Arabidopsis thaliana: one gene and its partners. The protein of the gene in region 3 interacts with the protein of the main gene of each other region in a biochemical or structural test. Each region holds a gene or a part of one and is shown on either strand. Other genes may lie near its edges.

What was found.
Region 1: the proteins of AHBP-1B (region 3) and SCL14 form a complex in vitro, tested with the Arabidopsis thaliana proteins (one study listed by BioGRID).
Region 2: the proteins of AHBP-1B (region 3) and NPR1 form a complex in vitro, tested with the Arabidopsis thaliana proteins (4 studies listed by BioGRID).

What each region holds. Positions count from the first base shown.
Region 1 is NC_003070.9:2,312,174-2,318,840, forward strand, and holds SCL14 (SCARECROW-like 14), read right to left. Parts: upstream 4,335-6,667; 5' UTR 4,136-4,334; intron 4,035-4,135; 5' UTR 3,965-4,034; coding exon 1,655-3,964; 3' UTR 1,408-1,654; downstream 1-1,407. Other genes in the region: TRFL2 (TRF-like 2), read right to left, coding at 6,260-6,439, 6,519-6,582. UniProt on the Arabidopsis thaliana protein: Probable transcription factor involved in plant development.
Region 2 is NC_003070.9:23,851,336-23,857,707, forward strand, and holds NPR1 (regulatory protein (NPR1)), read right to left. Parts: upstream 4,324-6,372; 5' UTR 4,073-4,323; coding exon 3,512-4,072; intron 3,433-3,511; coding exon 2,697-3,432; intron 2,589-2,696; coding exon 2,385-2,588; intron 2,275-2,384; coding exon 1,994-2,274; 3' UTR 1,413-1,993; downstream 1-1,412. Other genes in the region: AT1G64290 (F-box protein-like protein), read right to left, coding at 6,059-6,372. UniProt on the Arabidopsis thaliana protein: Salicylic acid (SA)-binding substrate-specific adapter of an E3 ubiquitin-protein ligase complex (CUL3-RBX1-BTB) which mediates the ubiquitination and subsequent proteasomal degradation of target proteins.
Region 3 is NC_003076.8:2,148,914-2,156,107, reverse strand, and holds AHBP-1B (bZIP transcription factor family protein), read right to left. Parts: upstream 5,269-7,194; 5' UTR 4,977-5,268; exon of another isoform or gene 4,973-4,976; intron 4,800-4,972; exon of another isoform or gene 4,311-4,799; intron 4,048-4,310; 5' UTR 3,986-4,047; exon of another isoform or gene 3,982-3,985; intron 3,894-3,981; 5' UTR 3,786-3,893; coding exon 3,720-3,785; intron 3,621-3,719; coding exon 3,549-3,620; intron 3,461-3,548; coding exon 3,401-3,460; intron 3,280-3,400; coding exon 3,202-3,279; intron 3,125-3,201; coding exon 3,073-3,124; intron 2,786-3,072; coding exon 2,514-2,785; intron 2,421-2,513; coding exon 2,175-2,420; intron 2,081-2,174; coding exon 1,934-2,080; 3' UTR 1,522-1,933; downstream 1-1,521. Other genes in the region: OBF5 (OCS-element binding factor 5), read right to left, coding at 1-55, 147-218, 301-366; AT5G06940 (Leucine-rich repeat receptor-like protein kinase family protein), read left to right, coding at 5,337-7,194.

The DNA of each region.
Region 1 (6,667 bases), on a different chromosome or scaffold from region 3:
AGGGGGACAAGACCAGTCTTGCGATTCGTCCGAGGAGTCAAAACTCAAAACTATCTCTCTTTTGACTTGTCATTAAGAGTATTCTTGGGCTTGATGGGCCCAGTTTTTATTGTAGTGATTGTCATGTTATCCACAAAAAGTAATGACTAGTGGTTCTTTTTAAGTAGTGATTTGTCTCCTAATTCCCCCATATGTTGACCGCTTATCGAAGCTTAAATGATCCATATGTTTGTTGATACTAGCTTATAATTTTGTTTGCTTCAAGAAAGTAGTTGCCAAAATTGAATATGTCGACGAGTTACTTAGGATCATTATTTTCTTAATAACAACAAGTGTACTTACTGATTTTTAAAATTTGTATAGTATTTTATAAATAGCTCGAGATGCTTCTCATTTGGGATATGTTAGACATTTTTTTATATATATAATAGATGCGGTCAAACCGTACAAATTATTAATTTATAATTATGTGAACCATAGAAGTGATGTTTTTGATTTACATATGTACGATCTTGGATTCTAAAAATACTAACAAAATTTCTAAATTACATATTCCGGCCGCTTTTAGATGGTGTCTATATCAAAATTATGTATATGTTACTTGATCAACTCTTGTTTTATGATTATTATTATTTTGATGTAAAGTCAAATGTGTTTGCATATAAAATAAATATGTGATTCCAACAGTTTCAAGTTGACAAAAAATCATATGTAAAACTTGGAGAGCAAGATTATTAAAGGTTCCTGATAGGTGGAGTTGATTATTTGACCAGTACGAATTATTTAAAAAATAGTTGATGTTAGCTGATGAATACTATATCAACAAACAAACGAAATATGATAACATAAAGTGACTTCATCGTAATAATTATATAGAACAGCGACAATAAATAAACACAAGAAAGTGAAAAGGACCCCTCCAGATCTGATCCCACAATGCCATTCTGACATATATTGTGAGATTCTCACCACGTATTATTGTACTAGTACATGAAGAAATACTTTTATGTCAGAAAAACTCGAAATTGAGTGGGTGTCACGTTTTTGAGTAACTATATTTTTCTGTCTCCAAATAAATATTCAACTCTTTCGGCGTTATAAACAAATCCTGGATATAATAGTTAGGAAAGTTTATTGGATGGATTATTTGTTTGATTTTGAAATTATTGTTTGTTGTTTGTTGTTTGTTGTTCAATCAATAATTGTAAGACTTTAGTTAAAATGATGTAATACTTCTGATTAGTACTAGTAGGCTTTCATAGGGGTTTTCACTTTCCAGGTTTTAAAGTTTTCATTATTATTTCTGATTATGTCGTCCTAGTACATGATTATCTACTTTTCGGTGTGTTTTGTAGTACGAGATGACGAGATGTCACACTCTGCAATAGAACTGTATAAACAAGACACTGAAAAAAATGTAACTTTTCATTATTTATGCAACAAAAGATTACATGAACATATAGCAAAAGATCATGCAATGAGTACTATATCTCTTAGGCTACACTCTTACACACGCTATGTCACAAGCATAATATAACAACATTCTAGTGTTCAAGAACCCTAACTCTGAACTTAATCCACTCGTGTTGGCGAGAGACTATCAACAGAAAAGCCCTACATAAATCCCAGTCGCTTAGAACGTAAGAAACAACATCTATGAAGACGAAGGAACCCATAGAGATGAAGCATACACGATTCTACCTTTCCACCCTTGAAGTAACCAGTTACCGTTTTGATCAACATCGAAGTTTTTATCGTACCCGTTTTCGATTTTCAACTTCAGATTCTGCATCAGTTCCTTCTCAAGCGGAAGCTGTCTAAATCCGGCTCGGATCAGTCTCGCCTGCCACTGCTTATATGTCTCTGGTCTCTCCACTCTCTCTGTTCCTTCACAAGCCACAACATTCACAATCTCTCTCCCATAAAACTCTTTCTCATACATCAGCCTCATCTCGTCTTCCCTAGCTAGCTTCGAGTCACACATATCAAACACAGCCGAGTAATGAAACAACGCTTCTCTGAACCTCGTGACAAAGAATGGCGCGTTGTAATTCCCGCTTAAGATCGCTGGAATGAAGACATTCGGGTTTATTTTTCTTATCAGCTTCAAAACTGCATCTCTCGGGCTGTTTACCAGAACGGTCTCATCTAGAAGGTTCCTGAAACGGAACAAAGAGTTCACAACCACATACTCTCCTTGTCGAAGCTTTAAGTCTTCGACTTGGATCGTTTCCCATTTCTGAGCAATTGCGTTGTACTCAAACGGAACATTGTGTCGCTGACAGTATCGAGCCAAGCGATGACCTGTCTCCTGAACTCCTTCCGCTGGTCTAAAACCGCGCTGAGGAAGCTCTATACCGGTAATTCGAAGCTTAGGCGAACCACCAGGTCTGCTGAGCGAGAGGCGATGAATCAGAGCAGGCCACTGAAAACCGTAAGATATTCCGAAATCTATTATGTGGATCGTGTTGGCGTTTGCAGTGAAACGCATCATGCTGTGGTTAGCAAATATGATAGCAGCTTTCTTGAAAGGGCAGACCGACATGTATGTCTGGTAAGCCTTCAACATGTCTGCTGCAGACGTTTTCTTCGAAGATAAAGCGGTGTAGATCTGTGTACCGGTCCCAGCTAAGCGTGCTTCAAGACTATTTGCAAAATAATGAGCCAACCGCTCTGAACCATTGCCTAGAGGCGAAGAATGCTCTCGTATCTGCCTTAGCATTTCGTTGGCGGTTCTACGATCATCCACTGATACAGCTTGTGCACATAACACCAAAAGAGTCCTCAAATCAGCAGTTTCTTTCTTAGAATCGTTACTATGACTAGTAGAAGTTGATTTCTTCCCACGAATCTTTGCTCCATTTGACTGTGCGGTCACGACTTTAGCGGATTCTGTAGGAAAGTTCTGGTTAAGAATGCATACAGGTTTCCCAGGGCCACATACCAAGATCTTATCAAACATTTCAGAAAGCTCGCTTTCCTCAACATAAACAGCTGATTGCTTGTTACTTCTTTCTTCAACGAAATCTTCATCTTCGTCGCGCCAATGGCTTTTCTTACCAGTTAATCTGTTGGGAGGAGGAGCATAGCTATGATGATGATGATGCTCTGTCTCATCTTTCTTCTCCGTCTTAACAAAAACCTCAGAACCATTTTCCTTGGAACCAGAATTCATAGGGATGTAACTATCCACATCAATAAAGAGCTGAGAAGACTTAGGAAGGAACTTACTAGCTTCCTCAACCCCTTTCTTGAACTGCATAGCCAATTCATCATCTTTAAACATATTCGAAACCAAATCATCGCCAAAACCTGAACCGTAAACCGCACTATTACCACCACCACCACCACCGGTGACACTGTTGGACCTAGAAGTAGACTGGAAAACAAAATTACTCGGCATAGGTGTATGTAACCAAGAAGGTCTATTCTCCAAACCATCAACACTCCAGTGAGAATCAGAGGAAGTAGTGGTAGTGGTGCTAGCGTAATCACTAAAAGCACCACCTGAACAAGAACCGTCAGGGCTATCACTAGCCAATCTCTCAGGATGATCCACAGAAGAAGCAGAAGACGAAGAAGGGTATTTCTCACCAAGAGCCTCATAGAGAGATTTCTCAGCAGCTTGAAGAGCCAAAGCGTCATGAAACATACAAGGCTTCTCTTCCATATCCTCTTCCATAAGAACTTGGCTTATATACTTCAAAACAGAATCAGAGAAATCAGCGTCATCAGATGAAGATGATAACAGATCTCCTGCTACAGCTTTGTTGTTGATGTTGTTGTTGTTGTTGTTCTGGGAGGGATATGCCTCTGGAGGATCCAAGGATGAGAAATCTAAGTCATCTAAATAGAACCCATTAGCTAAACCTAAGGTTTGGTTTGAGGAGGGAGGCAAATCAAAGTCCTTATTGAAATCCAACTCGTCCATGGATCCAGGGAATCCATCCGGATAAGAACCCATGTGGATCCAACTCCAAAAACCCAAAAATCCAGAGTCGTTAATATCTAATAAAGGTCGAATCTTTATTCTCCTGATCAATCACCAAAACCAAAAAAGCAGAGCACTGAAGAAGATGAGAAGAGAAGAGAGTAAAAATTACAAAGCAGGGAGATTTCAGAGAAGAAAGCGTACCTCTTTGTGGATTCGGCAACAAGATGACAAAGAAGAACCTTGAGTAAGAGGGAAAAAGGGTCTGTGTTACTGTGTACGCGGTGAAGAGAGAGAGAGAGACTAGAAAGAAGATGATGAAGCAGATGAAAGATAAGAACTAATTAATTGTTTTTACTCTCTCTACAGAGATAATATAAAAGAATATGCCCTTGTCTCTTTTCTTTTCTTTTAAATTTCACTCAGAAATATAAGTCGATCAGGCAACTTCTTGGGTCTATCTGTTGTCTGAAAAGAATCTTTCCGAATCAAGACAAGTTTCAATTTTCACTGTTTATTGTTTACTTTTACTAGAAACTGATATTTATTTGGAAATTTATCAATTTCTTTAGTTTTAATTTTATTTCAGATATTAATTTTATTATTTAATTAGTTTAGTGAATACGAATTATAATGTAAAGGATGTTAAGGCGATGAGATTTTATGATTCTTTTCTTTCCAAAACAGCATTATTTTTGTGTGGTGAGACCAATCTAGAAAGTACACGAATGAAACAATGTTACTTTCATAGAAAGATAACGTACTATATGATTACTGATTAGTGATTACATTTTATTTTATTTTTGACAGCAGTGATTACTGATTAGTGATTACATTTTATTTTATTTTTGACAGCAGTGATTACTGATTAGTGACTACATAAAATAGATTTATTGAACAATTTTTTGGCAAGAAAAGAAATAGATATACAAGTCACTCTATGGATACCATACCACCAAAAAAATCAATCTCAATATCGTAAGAATTTTAAGGAATATGCACAAGATGGCCTGAGATTCAAAAAGTTACTGTGTATTATGTTTTGATAATCGTTATACAAGTCACACTTTATTATTTCATAGTCATTTTACTTTTCTTCCCATATCTTATATTTCAACATTCCTGGCTGCTCACTAGTTTTTCGTTGACCCGACTAAGATAATAATTCCAATTATAAAATTTGTTATCTCCTTTTTAAAAATCATCTTAACCTTAATATATGCGGGAGAGATGGTTTGGACTTTGGAGAGACCAAAAAAAACTTGGAAGAAAATATTCATGGCCAAGAACAACGAGGATAAATTCCGAAGAGAATACATAACGAAGCCAGTAAGGTCCGTCTCTTGCGATATATGATTGATGTCGGCCTTCCTTAGTGACACTGCTAGCGCAACTGTGTTGTTGCTTTCGGTCCACAAATGGTATCCCAATCTTGAAATTTACTTAAAAACATATAATAATATTCTAGTGTTGGCTAATAATTGAACAATTTCAACAACAAAGATTATGACAATACTAGGAACTAGCAAATGACAATTTTTAAAATACTGCACTTTTAAAGCAAAATAAGACAAAAGAAAAAATTGAGAGATCAGACGATGTGCTAAGCTTGGAAGTTTGGAACAAGACAATTTCGCTGTAGCAATATCATGAATTTCTTACATTAATTGCACCTTACTTTCGCTTCCCACTAAAAGATTGGACTAATCGTAGCTTCATGAACACATCCATTTTTTTTACTTTCGTAGCCACATAGCAAACGATGCTAGCAAAAAAGTTTACTCATCGATAGGTGTCGACTTTTGAGAAAGATATGAAATAATGAAAATGACAACTTCATTTATTTCTCTCGGTTGATCTATGAGATCCTAAAGTATCTCCCATCTTATTCTCTTTTCTTCTGTAAGTGTCCAAAAAAGTCTGTTTAGCCATTGAAAAAAGTCGCATAGCTATTACCACAAAAAGCCAAAGTGAATAATTATTGGTACGTATGTTATGTTTCCTTTTCTCCTTATCAACTCTACCTTTTCTTGTCAAGGAATCTTATCAGGATCTCAATTTTGCAAGGCACCAAAAGGAAGAAACCTCTTATTACAACCAAGCACTGTGACAATTACATAGGACTTCACATATCTTCATCTATATATCTTCTTCTTCTTCTTCTTCTTTACCACACAATCCATTCCTTTTTTTTTACATTGAATCTTCTCAAATACATGCATAAAACAGATAAACAAACAAACAAAAAAGTATATATGAACGAATAAATTCCAGGTTTATCCTGCTAACGTCCATTATCACGTTGCGAAGATAATATTTAATCCCGGCCTATAGACCAAGACTGGTCTCGAGCTGCTGGGGTCCCTCTAGTAACTGGTGTTTCCCCTGTTGCTGGGACCAGTAGGCATGAGCCGTTAGTACCCGGTCTAAGAGCTCCTGTGGAACTGGCTCACCTCTCCTTTGTTGCGGTGATATTCTTGCTGTGTGCACCAGCGTCTTCCATTTGTCCTAATCAATCCCAAAATTAGTTACTTCTTGCACAAGAAACATAGACCTCATTCACTGTAAGGAGAGAGTTTTATTTTACCTTCAAATCAACGTAAGTACGGTGCTTAGCATTATCAAAAGCTCGCAATTTTACGTCACGCCACCTGCAGATAGATATGCACAACAATCTTAGAACTATCTTGAACCAATTATTGATGGAAATTAAGTCTTATACTTTGGTGAACATAA
Region 2 (6,372 bases), on a different chromosome or scaffold from region 3:
GCTACTGATTATGTGTCACATGCATCTGTGAAAGTAGAGAGAGATAATGGTTTAGAGGTTCAGGGAGTGGGTAACAGTAACGGGTGGATTGAAGACGAGGAAAATTCTGACTTCGGAAATGGTAGCACTCGTGGAGGTGGGGATGGAGAAATAACGGATAAAAACTCGGGTTCAGATGATGCACACAAGGTTTGAATGTGCCAGGCTTAGAGGTATTACCGTATGCGTGCTTATTAAGTAAAGGTGTTGTTGATTCGAGTGCTTCAAAACAGTGTACTTTGTCTAGTTTGTGGATTGATGATCATGAATTGCGTGTAGGGTTGTGTTTTAAAGATAGGGATGAGCTGAAGAAGGCGGTGGACTGGTGTTCCATTAGAGGGCAGCAAAAGTGTGTAGTACAAGAGATTGAGAAGGACGAGTATACGTTTAAATGCATCAGATGGAAATGCAATTGGTCGCGTCGGGCAGATTGAATAGAAGAACATGGACTTGTTAAGATAACTAAGTGTAGTTGGTCCACATACTTGTTGTTCTATTAAGCCGGAAAACTTCAACTTGTAATTTGCAGCAGAAGAGATTGAGTGTCTGATCAGGGTACAACCCACTCTAACAGCAGAGTTGAAAAGTTTGGTGACATGCTTAAAACTTCAAAGCTGCGGGCAGCAGAACAGGAAGTAATCAAAGATCAGAGTTTCAGAGTATTGCCTAAACTAATTGGCTGCATTTCACTCATCTAATGGGCTACTTGTGGACTGCAATATGAGCTTTTCCCTAATCCTGAATTTGCATCCTTCGGTGGCGCGTTTTGGGCGTTTCCACAGTCCATTGAAGGGTTTCAACACTGTAGACCTCTGATCATAGTGGATTCAAAAGACTTGAACGGCAAGTACCCTATGAAATTGATGATTTCCTCAGGACTCGACGCTGATGATTGCTTTTTCCCGCTTGCCTTTCCGCTTACCAAAGAAGTGTCCACTGATAGTTGGCGTTGGTTTCTCACTAATATCAGAGAGAAGGTAACACAAAGGAAAGACGTTTGCCTCGTCTCCAGTCCTCACCCGGACATAGTTGCTGTTATTAACGAACCCGGATCACTGTGGCAAGAACCTTGGGTCTATCACAGGTTCTGTCTGGATTGTTTTTGCTTACAATTCCATGATATTTTTGGAGACTACAACCTGGTGAGCCTTGTGAAGCAGGCTGGATCCACAAGTCAGAAGGAAGAATTTGATTCCTACATAAAGGACATCAAAAAGAAGGACTCAGAAGCTCGGAAATGGTTAGCCCAATTCCCTCAAAATCAGTGGGCTCTGGCTCATGACCAGTGGTCGGAGATATGGAGTCATGACGATAGAAACAGAAGATTTGAGGGCAATTTGTGAAAGCTTTCAGTCTCTTGGTCTATCAGTGACAGCGAACGCACCTGCACATGTGGGAAGTTTCAATCGAAGAAGTTTCCATGTATGCACCCAGAAATGGTGCAAAGGATTGTTAACTTGTGTCATTCACAAATGTTGGATGCAATGGAGCTGACTAGGAGAATGCACCTTACACGCCCACTCAGTGTTCTCTTATCTCTAGACCTGAAACTAACTTGCTGTGTAATTCGAGTTACAAAAGGTTAAAGGAAGAATTAGGAAGATACATATAACATGAATGTTGCCAGAAGTTCAGGGAACTTGAATATTCTTTTGGTTCTTGGTGGAAAATATCCAACAGATGAACAATTTGACATTATTTCACACTTTGATTCTAGCAACTCTGTAACACCATCATGGGTTATTGTTGATGTACATAAATATATATTACAAATCTGTATACCATTGGTTCAAATTGTTACAACATTTGTTTGAAGCACACCTGCAGCAATAATACACAGGATGCAAAACGAAGAGCGAAACTATATGACGCCAACGATAGACATAAACAGTTACAGTCATCATGAAAACAGAATTATATGGTACAGCAAAAATTACACTAAGAGGCAAGAGTCTCACCGACGACGATGAGAGAGTTTACGGTTAGACCTCTTTCCACCGGTTGATTTCGATGTGGAAGAAGTCGAATCTGTCAGGGACGAATTTCCTAATTCCAAATTGTCCTCACTAAAGGCCTTCTTTAGTGTCTCTTGTATTTCCATGTACCTTTGCTTCTTTTGTAGTCGTTTCTCAGCAGTGTCGTCTTCTCCGCAAGCCAGTTGAGTCAAGTCCTCACAGTTCATAATCTGGTCGAGCACTGCCGAACAGCGCGGGAAGAATCGTTTCCCGAGTTCCACTGATGATAAAAAAACAAGGTCAGACAGCAAGTAACAAAACCATGTTTAAAGATCATTTAGTTTTGTTTTTTGTGATAAGGAGTCCGATGAAGTGGGTGAGAATCCATACCGGTTTTAGAAAGCGCTTTTAGTCTACTTTGATGCTCTTCTAGGATTCTGAAAGGTGCTATCTTTACACCCGGTGATGTTCTCTTCGTACCAGTGAGACGGTCAGGCTCGAGGCTAGTCACTATGAACTCACATGTTCCCTTCATTTCGGCGATCTCCATTGCAGCTTGTGCTTCCGTTGGAAAAAGACGTTGAGCAAGTGCAACTAAACAGTGGACGACACAAAGAATAGTTATCATTAGTTCACTCAGTTTCCTAATAGAGAGGACATAAATTTAATTCAAACATATAAGAAATAAGACTTGATAGATACCTCTATTTTCAAGATCGAGCAGCGTCATCTTCAATTCATCGGCCGCCACTGCAAAAGAGGGAGGAACATCTCTAGGAATTTGTTCTCGTTTGTCTTCTTGCTCTAGTATTTCTACACATAGTCGGCCTTTGAGAGAATGCTTGCATTGCTCCGGGATATTATTACATTCAACCGCCATAGTGGCTTGTTTTGCGATCATGAGTGCGGTTCTACCTTCCAAAGTTGCTTCTGATGCACTTGCACCTTTTTCCAATAGAGATAGTATCAATTGTGGCTCCTTCCGCATCGCAGCAACATGAAGCACCGTATATCCCCTCGGATTCCTATGGTTGACATCGGCAAGATCAAGTTTTAAAAGATCTGTTGCGGTCTTCACATTGCAATATGCAACAGCGAAATGAAGAGCACACGCATCATCTAGATTGGTGTGATCCTCTTTCAAAAGCAACTTGACTAACTCAATATCATCCGAGTCAAGTGCCTTATGTACATTCGAGACATGTTTCTTTACTTTAGGTACCTCCAAACCAAGCTCTTTACGTCTATCAATTATCTCTTTAACAAGCTCTTCCGGCAATGACTTTTCAAGACTAACCATATCTACATTAGACTTGACAATAATCTCTTTACATCTATCCAATAGCTTCATACAAGCTTTACCACATATATTAGCAAGCTTGAGTATAACCAATGTGTCCTCTATAACAACTTTGTCTACAACGTCCAATAAGTGCCTCTGAAATACAAATACAAGTACTCAAGTAAGAACATATTCATGAATGTGTAACCATAGCTTAATGCAGATGGTGTTTTACCTGATAGAGAGTAATTAATTCAGGGATCTTGAAGATGAAAGCCAAATAGAGAACCTCCAACATGAAATCCACCGCCGGCCGGCAAGCCACGTGGCAGCAATTCTCGTCTGCGCATTCAGAAACTCCTTTAGGCGGCGGTCTCACTCTGCTGCTGTAAACATAAGCCAAAACAGTCACAACCGAATCGAAACCGACTTCGTAATCCTTGGCAATCTCCTTAAGCTCGAGCTTCACGGCGGCGGTGTTGTTGGAGTCTTTCTCCTTCTTAGCGGCGGCTAAAGCGCTCTTGAAGAAAGAGCTTCTCGCTGACAAAACGCACCGGTGGAAAGAAACTTCCCGGCCGTCGGAGAGAACAAGCTTAGCGTCGCTGTAGAAATCATCCGGCGAGTCAAAGACGGATTCGAAGCTGTTGGAGAGCAATTGCAGAGCAGATACATCAGGTCCGGTGAGTACTTGTTCGGCGGCCAGATAAACAATAGAGGAGTCGGTGTTATCGGTAGCGACGAAACTAGTGCTGCTGATTTCATAAGAATCGGCGAATCCATCAATGGTGGTGTCCATCAACAGGTTCCGATGAATTGAAATTCACAAATTAAAGAGATCTCTGCTAATCAACGAAGAGACCTTATCAACTGGATTTGGTTAAAGATCGAAGATAACCATTGACGAGCAGAGCCAAGTCAAGTCAACGAGAGTGGTGGTGAGATATGAAGAAGCATCCTCGTCCCACGGTTTACATTTCACCAAAACCGGTAAATTTCCAGGAAAGGAATCTTTGTCAGAGATCTTTTTTAAAAAGATATAACAGGAAGCTAAACCGGTTCGGGTTATAAATGTTAGTATTTATACCGGAGACATTTTGTGTTGCTAATTTTTGTATATGAGAAGTTCAATCCGGTTCGGTAAGCCCCTGAACCAAACTAGATTTGGAGATGATATAAATATATAAAATTTATTTTTCATCCGGTTCGTTATTTTCATATAAATATATAAATATTATTTTTTAAATTTAAGAATTAGATTTACATGTGAAAGTTACATTTCTGTTTATTTTCTTTGAAGTAAAATGATAAAGGGAACGTATATTAAGTTTCATGCTTTATTCACATAAGTTTTGTAATGTATATTATATTTTTCGTTTATTGAAAAAGTAATTTTCAGTGTTCAGCATGTTTACACTATAATTAAATCAAGTCGAATATTTCCTGGAACTATTCTCCTTGTTCTATAGCAAATGAAAACGCTCTTCACAACAAAATCATTATAGATATAGGAATAAATTACATTAAAAACATGAAAGTCATAATGAATATATTTTTTTAATTAGGATTTGATTTAAAAACAATTATTGTATACATATAAAAGACTTCTTTAGTTATTTGCCTTCAACTTCTCGTTCTGAATCATGCGATAAATCAGCTTTTTCAATAACTACGACGTAAAAGCAAATTCATAACACGTCTAAACAAATTTGGCTCATCCTTCACTTGATTGGTGTTTTCCGGACTCGATGTTGCTGGAAACTGAGAAGAAGAAGGAATCTGCATAATCACCTCTTGGTTCCTCACCGGTAGACTCATTTTGTTGGATCGAAAACGATCGAGATCAGAAAATGAAAAGATAGGTTAAAGATGCCTATGAATACAACAACGTAAGATTATGTTGAATAAACAGAGTACTTTATATAGGAGTTATAATAAGGTAAATAAATTATTGCTTTCCGCGTTTTTTACTTTTGTATTTCTTAAATGATAAGTTAAATTAGGATAAGATTTGTATGATTTTAAGTAAATTTACAATAACTCTCTATAACTCAATAGCATCACATATTTAATTAATTTTACTAATTATCTTTTGAACAATTTTATGAAATAGTTTTCTTTTAATTAATTTTTTAAAATGATATATTATAAAATTTAATTGAATCAATCTGATATAATTTTTTTATCTTCTACCATCTATTATAGTTGATAAATATTGTGATAAACTTTAGATAAACACCCAATTGCCAAATATTTAATAAATTTTGTGTACCATGCGTTTTTTTTGGAGAATATATATACGTGGACAGCATACCGTACATATATTGTATAAAAGCTTATAAAACATAGATACGGGTTATATTGGTAAGCTATAAATATATGTAAACAATAGTAAGATATTACGTGTTGTGTCTAAATATGTGTTGCTTTAGATATTATTGTATATCTAATATATTAAAATATCTTTTATTAACTAATATATTATTTAAGAGAGAAAATTGGGACACTATTTTCTATACAGTAACTGTTTTCAACTATAAACAGGAACCCTTGATATAATAAAATAACTAGCCAAAAAATCAGATTAAATATTCATAAAACAATGTTTGGTATTATTACATAAACCTAAGAAACAAAATTCAATATTCCTTTTTACCTTATAAAAAACAATTAAACATCACTAGATATATTTATGCCCCACAATGAGCGAGCCAATTGAGACTTGAGACTTGAGATCCTTGTCAACTACGTTTGCATTTGTCGGCCCATTTTTTTTATTTTTTTTTTAAAGTGTCGGCCCGTTGCTTCTTCCGTTCAGATCAACCCTCTCGTAATCAGAACAAAACGGAAAACAAACGAAAGAACAATCAGATCCCTCTTTTTTTGCATAAACTAAATTCAACTTCTCTGCGTTTATGTTGTAGAGGCAACCACGATCACTACTACGAAACAATACAACGTCGTTGCTTGGAGTCCACGTAATCAAATCTACTCCAATGCTTTTAATATCTTTCACTTTAACCCACGACTTTTCAAAACTGCTCTTTAAAACCCATAACTCGTGAACATCTTCTTGATCTTTGTTTGTCCACTGACGAA
Region 3 (7,194 bases):
TCCTCAATCTGCTTTTCCTTGCAGCCTCACGGTTTTGAGCGAGCCTACGAAGCGTCTGTTGATTACAACAACAAACAAGAAAAACATAACTGAAAGGCTCAATGACAAAAACCAAACTCTTGCAAAATAGAGATGTTTATATTCACCTTTTGATCCATTTTACTCTTTGAACGGTCACTAGAATCAGAAGCACCGATACCCAAATGCCCTTCATCGAACTGCATAAATACTGTTTTATTTCAAAACTTTGGCCATTTAATGAACATAAAGAAGCAAGACCTAGAAATTTTACAAGCTAACCATTAGGTTATTATGATCAGTGTCTCCATCTGTTGAGACTGATGTTCTTGGACTAGTATCTCCCATTTTTCTTTTTCTTCAAAATCTCTGTTACTAAATCATCAGATAAAAACCGATCCAATCGTGGTACCCTAGATGGAGTAAAGACTGTCAAAAGTAAGATGGTAAACATAAACAAAAGATTAGAGTTATAGAGAAAGAAAACATATTTTTAAGCCAAAAACCAACGCATTAAGTAGAATCAAGAAAGTGGAAACAATGATACGATACATCACCCTATTTATGTCACACTAACATAAAGATCCAAACCACTAAACTTAACACATAGCTGTGAAGCAACCAATGACCTCAAGAACTTTGAGTATTCAAAGCCAGAGAATCAAAGTAAACAATAAGCACGCCTATATGATTTGAAATGAGAACCAACGGACTTCTATAGCGTAAAGCTCTCCGTGAGGTGAAACAGTAACTAATCTGAACATTAGACTGAAGTAGAGCTAAAAGATTCAGAATTTAGCAAACTAGCCCCGGAAACAGAGTAAAAGACACAAAATTCAAGCTTCATAACATCAAATCTCAACCAATTCGTTTAAATAGTGTCCGAAATAATGATTTTGGATCCTTAACACGTACATAAAGCAAAAAGGAAAAAATTCCCTCAAAGGTCAAAATCTTCAATGGAAAAAAACAATCATGAAAGCAGAGGCAGAATAAGAAAACTGAAGAACTAAAACCCCTAAGACTATTGAAGAAGAGACTCACCTGAAAAGAACGGATTCTTTGAGCTTAACCCCAAACAAAAGTTGCTCGGAGAAAAAGCGATTTAGAGAAAGATCCGGAAAATTCCAATCTACAACTGCAAAGACGTGGTCTTTGTCTAAAACCCACAACAGATATAGTATCAATCACCAACAAAGGTTACTACTTTTGTATCTTCCTTCTTTGAGGTATTTTTAGTTGTACGATCTTCTTTTTTTTTATTTTGCCGGTCTCTGAAAAAAAACAGGAATGGAAGACGAAACTCAAGTGATGGTGGACCTCTAGATGCTGAGGGTTAAAAAGTCCTCTGAAAATTGCAACACTCTCTTTTTTCTAAAAACAAAATAATTCTTGGTTTTGACAATGACATGTCCCTTTTTTTATTACAAAAAAATCTATCACACTTACTTTGAATGTAAATTCATTTTCATCATCTCTTGGAAGTTTACATTAGAATCCTCACTAAATAAGATTTAAGACACAAGCGATGAAACTACAAAACTCAAATAGAACATCTTAATATTGTTAAATGATTACAGTACAGAAGTTGCAAGGTTAAAACACCTTTACCACACACAAAAGTAACAAAAAAAAACAAAATTCAATAACCTTTCTAAGATAATCGAAGATGCTATATAAACAACATTGAACTTTTCAAATGCTAAATTAAAAACTGATGACTACAACTAAAACAACATGAATTACCACAACCATGTAGAAGAAACCTACATACAAAGAGTCTTTTGTTTCCCAGAAATTTGCTTATTTGTTGATGGATTTGGTAAGAAGAATCTGACAAGTGTTGATTAATAGTCTCTCCTGGTTTTGTGTCCATATGGATTTTGTACAGCTGACATGTGACCAAAATACAGTTTCACTCTCTGGGTCGAGCAAGCCATAAGGAGCTTAGAGCTCGTAGCCGTGAGAAGTAATCGTGTATTGCAAGTAGAGCACGTGCTGACTGTCTCGTTGTTAATACTCTTATCATCTGTTGCAATGTTTGTAGTCTCAAATTATCAGCCTGCCACCACCAACCAAGAGACGATTATTAACCTATTGATATATATATATACTCTTAACTAAGATATCATCTCAAAACATCACAAGTGTTGTACCTGGCGGATAAATCCTTCGAGTGTACCTAACTTTCCCATTGCCATGGCCATCTGACCCATGTAGCTTGCGACATTCCCTGATGAACTTGAACCAAGAGTCCCGCTCGATAAAGTATCAGCTAGTGACTGTTGTAAGCTCTCCATCCCTTGAGACAAAGCATCTTCAGCCTGCTGCGATGTCTGTTGCAGGTTATTTATGCCCATCAACTGTCTCTCTGTCATTGGCTCCAACTGATTCGCCAGAAGCTGTTTCAACACATTTTTCCCTATGACCATTCTTTTTATGTTCTATGTAGAAACAGATGCAATCGGTGAAGACAAAGTGAAATTTGACCTCACCTTTAGAAGTTCGGATGAACGAAATCCACCGAGCCACAAGAAACATCTCTCAGCTGGTGTTTTCCACATGCCAGATAGCAAGTGAAAGACATCATTCTTAGCTGCATTGCTCTTTATCCTGAAAAGCTCCTCATAGTGAGCCATCACACCATCGACTATTATTCGAAGCTCAGAATCACCTGCATGCGCATTCAGAGCAGACCTCAGCTCGTTCATTTGCTTGTTCTTTTCTTCCAACCACCGTGAATGTTCAGCATCAAACGCCAAAGCACCTGAATTAAAAAATTTATACATGATCAAAACAAACCCATGAGATTCGTCATCTTGTAAATCTAAATCTACACCAGTGCTAATTAGAATAACAGTTTTTGCTATCAGAACCATGTCAGTCTGCCACTGACTCTGATAACCCAGTGTATTGTAATGGGATGAGATATGATGTACTAATTGATCAGTCTACACCAAGTCAACAGGAAGTTGATATATGAACTTAACTTATACACAAATTAGAAGCCAAAAAATAAACATAATTAAAACTAATGGAGAATAAGCAACCAACCATTTCCACCAGTAGAATGGGCCTGGTCTCCTGTGCCTGAAATGAAGACGCCCTAGAAACAAGAAATTTACCGTTAGGTATACAGAATAACAAAATAAAAATCAATAGAAATAAGAAACAAATTTGAACCTGCTGTCTTGCTCTTTGCAGCTCCTGCTCAAGCTGGGTTAGTTTCAAGCGGCTGTTCTCTAGCTGCTGAACATAAGCCTATGGAGGGAGCAATTAAAAGGAATTAACGTAGTACCAAATAGCTATGCTTCTAGCGATGCACCAATTTAAAAAGAAAAGAAAAAGTAAAAAAAGATAAAACCAATGGAAGGTAATATACCTTCTTCCTCAATCTGCTTTTCCTTGCTGCCTCACGGTTTTGAGCAAGCCTACGAAGAGTCTATGGATCAAAATATAAGGAAACAAAAAGAGATTATAAATTGGCTGAATAAAAACAGTGATCTTATCTACAGAGATGGACATGTCACCTTTTGATCCATCTTTCCCTTCGATCGGTCACTCGAATCAGAAGCAGCAGTATTCACTAGTGCTCCCTCCGACTGCATTAAAATTAACACCAGAATTTTTGTTTGGTCCATAAAAAATCACACTATTTTGAAGAATATAAGTGATAAAATCTAGCCAGATTATGAGCTAACCCCAAGATCAGGATGATCTGTGTCGTCATCTGTTGAGACATCAGTTCTCGGACTGGTATCAGCCATATTACTTTCTCACCACTTTTCTGTACTAACACTTGATAACAAAGACAATATCCACTTGTGGCCTCTCTTTTAGTAACAACTTCTTGAAATTTCTCTTGTGTGCACAGACTGCCAGGATTCGGAAGGAAATTAAGAAAAAGAAAAAAAGACAGAAAGAACAAAATTAGGTGATAGAATATAAAAGAAAGATCAACACCTACCAATACGAATCAATAGGAAATGAATCAGGAACAAATGTTGGTCACCCGGAGCATTGGCTGCGCTGAATGAGCACAAAAAAAAACAGCATTACATACCATCTCTTTTGCTAACATAGTTTTCAATTATGTCCTATAAAGTCAAGAAAAAGGTTCTCTAGTTTGTTTCAGTTAAACAAGCCAGCTAAAGAATGCTAAAGAGTCCTTTACTTATTCAAAGTGTCCTAAGGGAAATTCTGCTGACTACCATAAGTCACAAAGTCAAATATATAAGAACAATCTGTTTGTAGCTAACAGACTGACAAAAATAGCCCATCAAAAACACAACCTTTAAAGCAATTCATCAAACCCAATCAGACATGTAGCTTGCACAATCTACAAAGTCTGAGAAACTCATTCAGACCTTAAGCTTAGCTCGCGGATCAAAGTCAAAATCAGTGAGACTTAAGGTGTTGGCACAGTCGAAAATGCCTGAGTTTGAAAAATTAGGTACAGTCACACTCACACACATCATTTCAATTCAGTTTGAATGACACTAAAGTAGCTTCAGTAGCTGAATCTCTTAGTTTTGCAACTCTAGCTAGAACAAAAACTATTCAGTATTCACATCCGAGTTGACTCAATTCCTTACTCAGTATTCATATCCGAGTAAAGTAAAAAAAAAAAGCTAAACTCTAAATCTAGAACCAGTGAGAATTCGGCATGAAGCTGCAGCTATGATTTCAAACCAAGAAACTACCACCGAAACAGAATTCAAGAGATTAACATTTAATTCGATGATTTTGGTAGCTCAAAATTAAGAACAAAATCACCAATTAAAAAAAAAAAAAAGCTGAACTCTTTAAGCTTGAGAAAGTCAACTAGGTTTAACTTCAAAAGCAAAAAGACAGAGTTAACAAGTAGCTTCTTAGGACTGTGAAGGAGAAAACTCCCAGAAAAAAAACAAAGGAAGAAAAACCCTAGAAAAAAAGGTTGGCTTGATGAAGAAACTGACCTGGAAAAACGAAATCTTGAAGGTGCACAAGTAAAGGGCTTGATTCGAAATCGGATTGAAACAAAGAAACAGAGAGAGACACGATCCGAAATTCCAATCTCCGAGACGTCGTTTTGTCTACAAATCTACCAGTTCCCCATAGACCCTCGACCAAAATTTAACGGGAAATTTCAAACTAAACCCTATACTCTTTATTTTTACCATTAACCAACCCTACTATCTTATAATTGCAAAACCCACCCCGTATTTTCAACACCTGAAATTCAATTCACTCTCACTCTCACTCTCACTCTCACTCTCACTCTCTCACTACTTCACTCATTCAGCAGATCCTCTTCATTCTCTATTCTTAACTCATTAATGGCTACCAGATTCAAGCACCAGTTTTCAATCTCACTAGCCTTGACATTCTTCTTCTTCTTCACCAAGACCTTCTCTTTCACAGAGAACGAGGAACTTGGTAACCTTCTCAGATTCAAAGCCTCCTTTGATGATCCAAAAGGCTCTCTTTCAGGTTGGTTTAACACTTCTTCTTCGCACCATTGTAACTGGACTGGTATCACATGTACTAGAGCTCCTACTCTTTACGTCTCTTCCATTAACCTTCAAAGTTTGAATCTTTCTGGTGAAATCTCTGACTCCATTTGTGACCTCCCTTACCTCACTCACCTTGACCTCTCCTTGAACTTCTTCAATCAGCCTATCCCACTTCAGTTGTCTCGTTGTGTTACTTTAGAGACTCTTAATCTCAGCTCTAATCTCATCTGGGGCACAATCCCTGATCAGATTTCTGAGTTTAGTTCCTTGAAAGTTATTGACTTTAGCAGTAACCATGTCGAAGGTATGATTCCAGAAGATTTAGGGTTATTGTTTAATCTCCAAGTTCTCAACTTGGGAAGTAATTTGCTCACTGGTATCGTCCCTCCTGCTATTGGGAAGCTAAGTGAGCTTGTTGTTCTTGATTTGTCTGAAAACAGCTATTTGGTTAGTGAGATTCCTTCTTTTCTTGGGAAGCTAGACAAGCTTGAACAGCTTCTGTTGCATAGGTCAGGGTTCCATGGAGAGATTCCTACTTCGTTTGTTGGTTTGACAAGTTTGAGAACCTTGGATCTGAGTTTGAACAACCTGAGTGGTGAGATTCCTCGATCATTAGGCCCTTCTCTCAAGAACTTAGTGTCTCTTGATGTCTCACAGAATAAGTTATCTGGCTCTTTCCCTAGTGGCATTTGCAGTGGTAAAAGGCTTATTAACCTTTCTCTCCACTCGAATTTCTTTGAAGGGTCATTGCCTAACTCCATTGGTGAATGCCTTAGTCTGGAGAGGCTTCAAGTGCAGAACAATGGATTTTCTGGTGAGTTTCCAGTTGTGTTGTGGAAATTACCCAGGATTAAGATTATTAGAGCGGATAATAATCGGTTCACAGGTCAAGTGCCAGAGTCTGTGTCTTTGGCTTCTGCATTGGAGCAAGTTGAGATAGTCAACAATTCCTTTTCTGGTGAAATCCCACATGGTCTTGGATTGGTTAAGAGCTTGTATAAGTTTTCTGCTTCACAAAACCGGTTTAGTGGAGAGTTACCGCCGAATTTTTGCGACTCACCTGTCCTTAGTATTGTAAACATCTCTCACAATAGGCTCTTAGGAAAGATCCCAGAACTGAAAAACTGCAAGAAGCTTGTCTCTTTGTCTCTAGCAGGCAATGCATTCACCGGAGAAATCCCGCCATCACTTGCTGATTTACATGTTCTGACCTATCTTGATCTATCTGATAATAGTCTTACTGGTTTGATCCCTCAAGGCTTACAGAACCTAAAGCTTGCTCTTTTTAACGTGTCATTCAATGGATTATCAGGTGAGGTACCTCACTCTCTGGTCTCCGGGTTACCAGCTTCCTTTCTGCAAGGAAATCCTGAGCTTTGTGGACCCGGTTTACCCAATTCTTGCTCCTCTGATCGGTCTAACTTCCATAAAAAAGGTGGTAAAGCGTTGGTGTTATCTTTGATATGTTTAGCACTTGCTATTGCCACTTTCCTTGCGGTGTTATATCGTTATTCTCGAAAGAAAGTGCAATTCAAGAGTACTTGGCGCTCGGAGTTTTATTATCCCTTCAAGTTAACTGAGCATGAGTTGATGAAAGTGGTGAATGAAAGTTGTCCTTCCGGAAGTGAAGTATACGTTCTCAGTTTATCTAGTGGGGAGTTATTAGCTGTGAAGAAGCTTG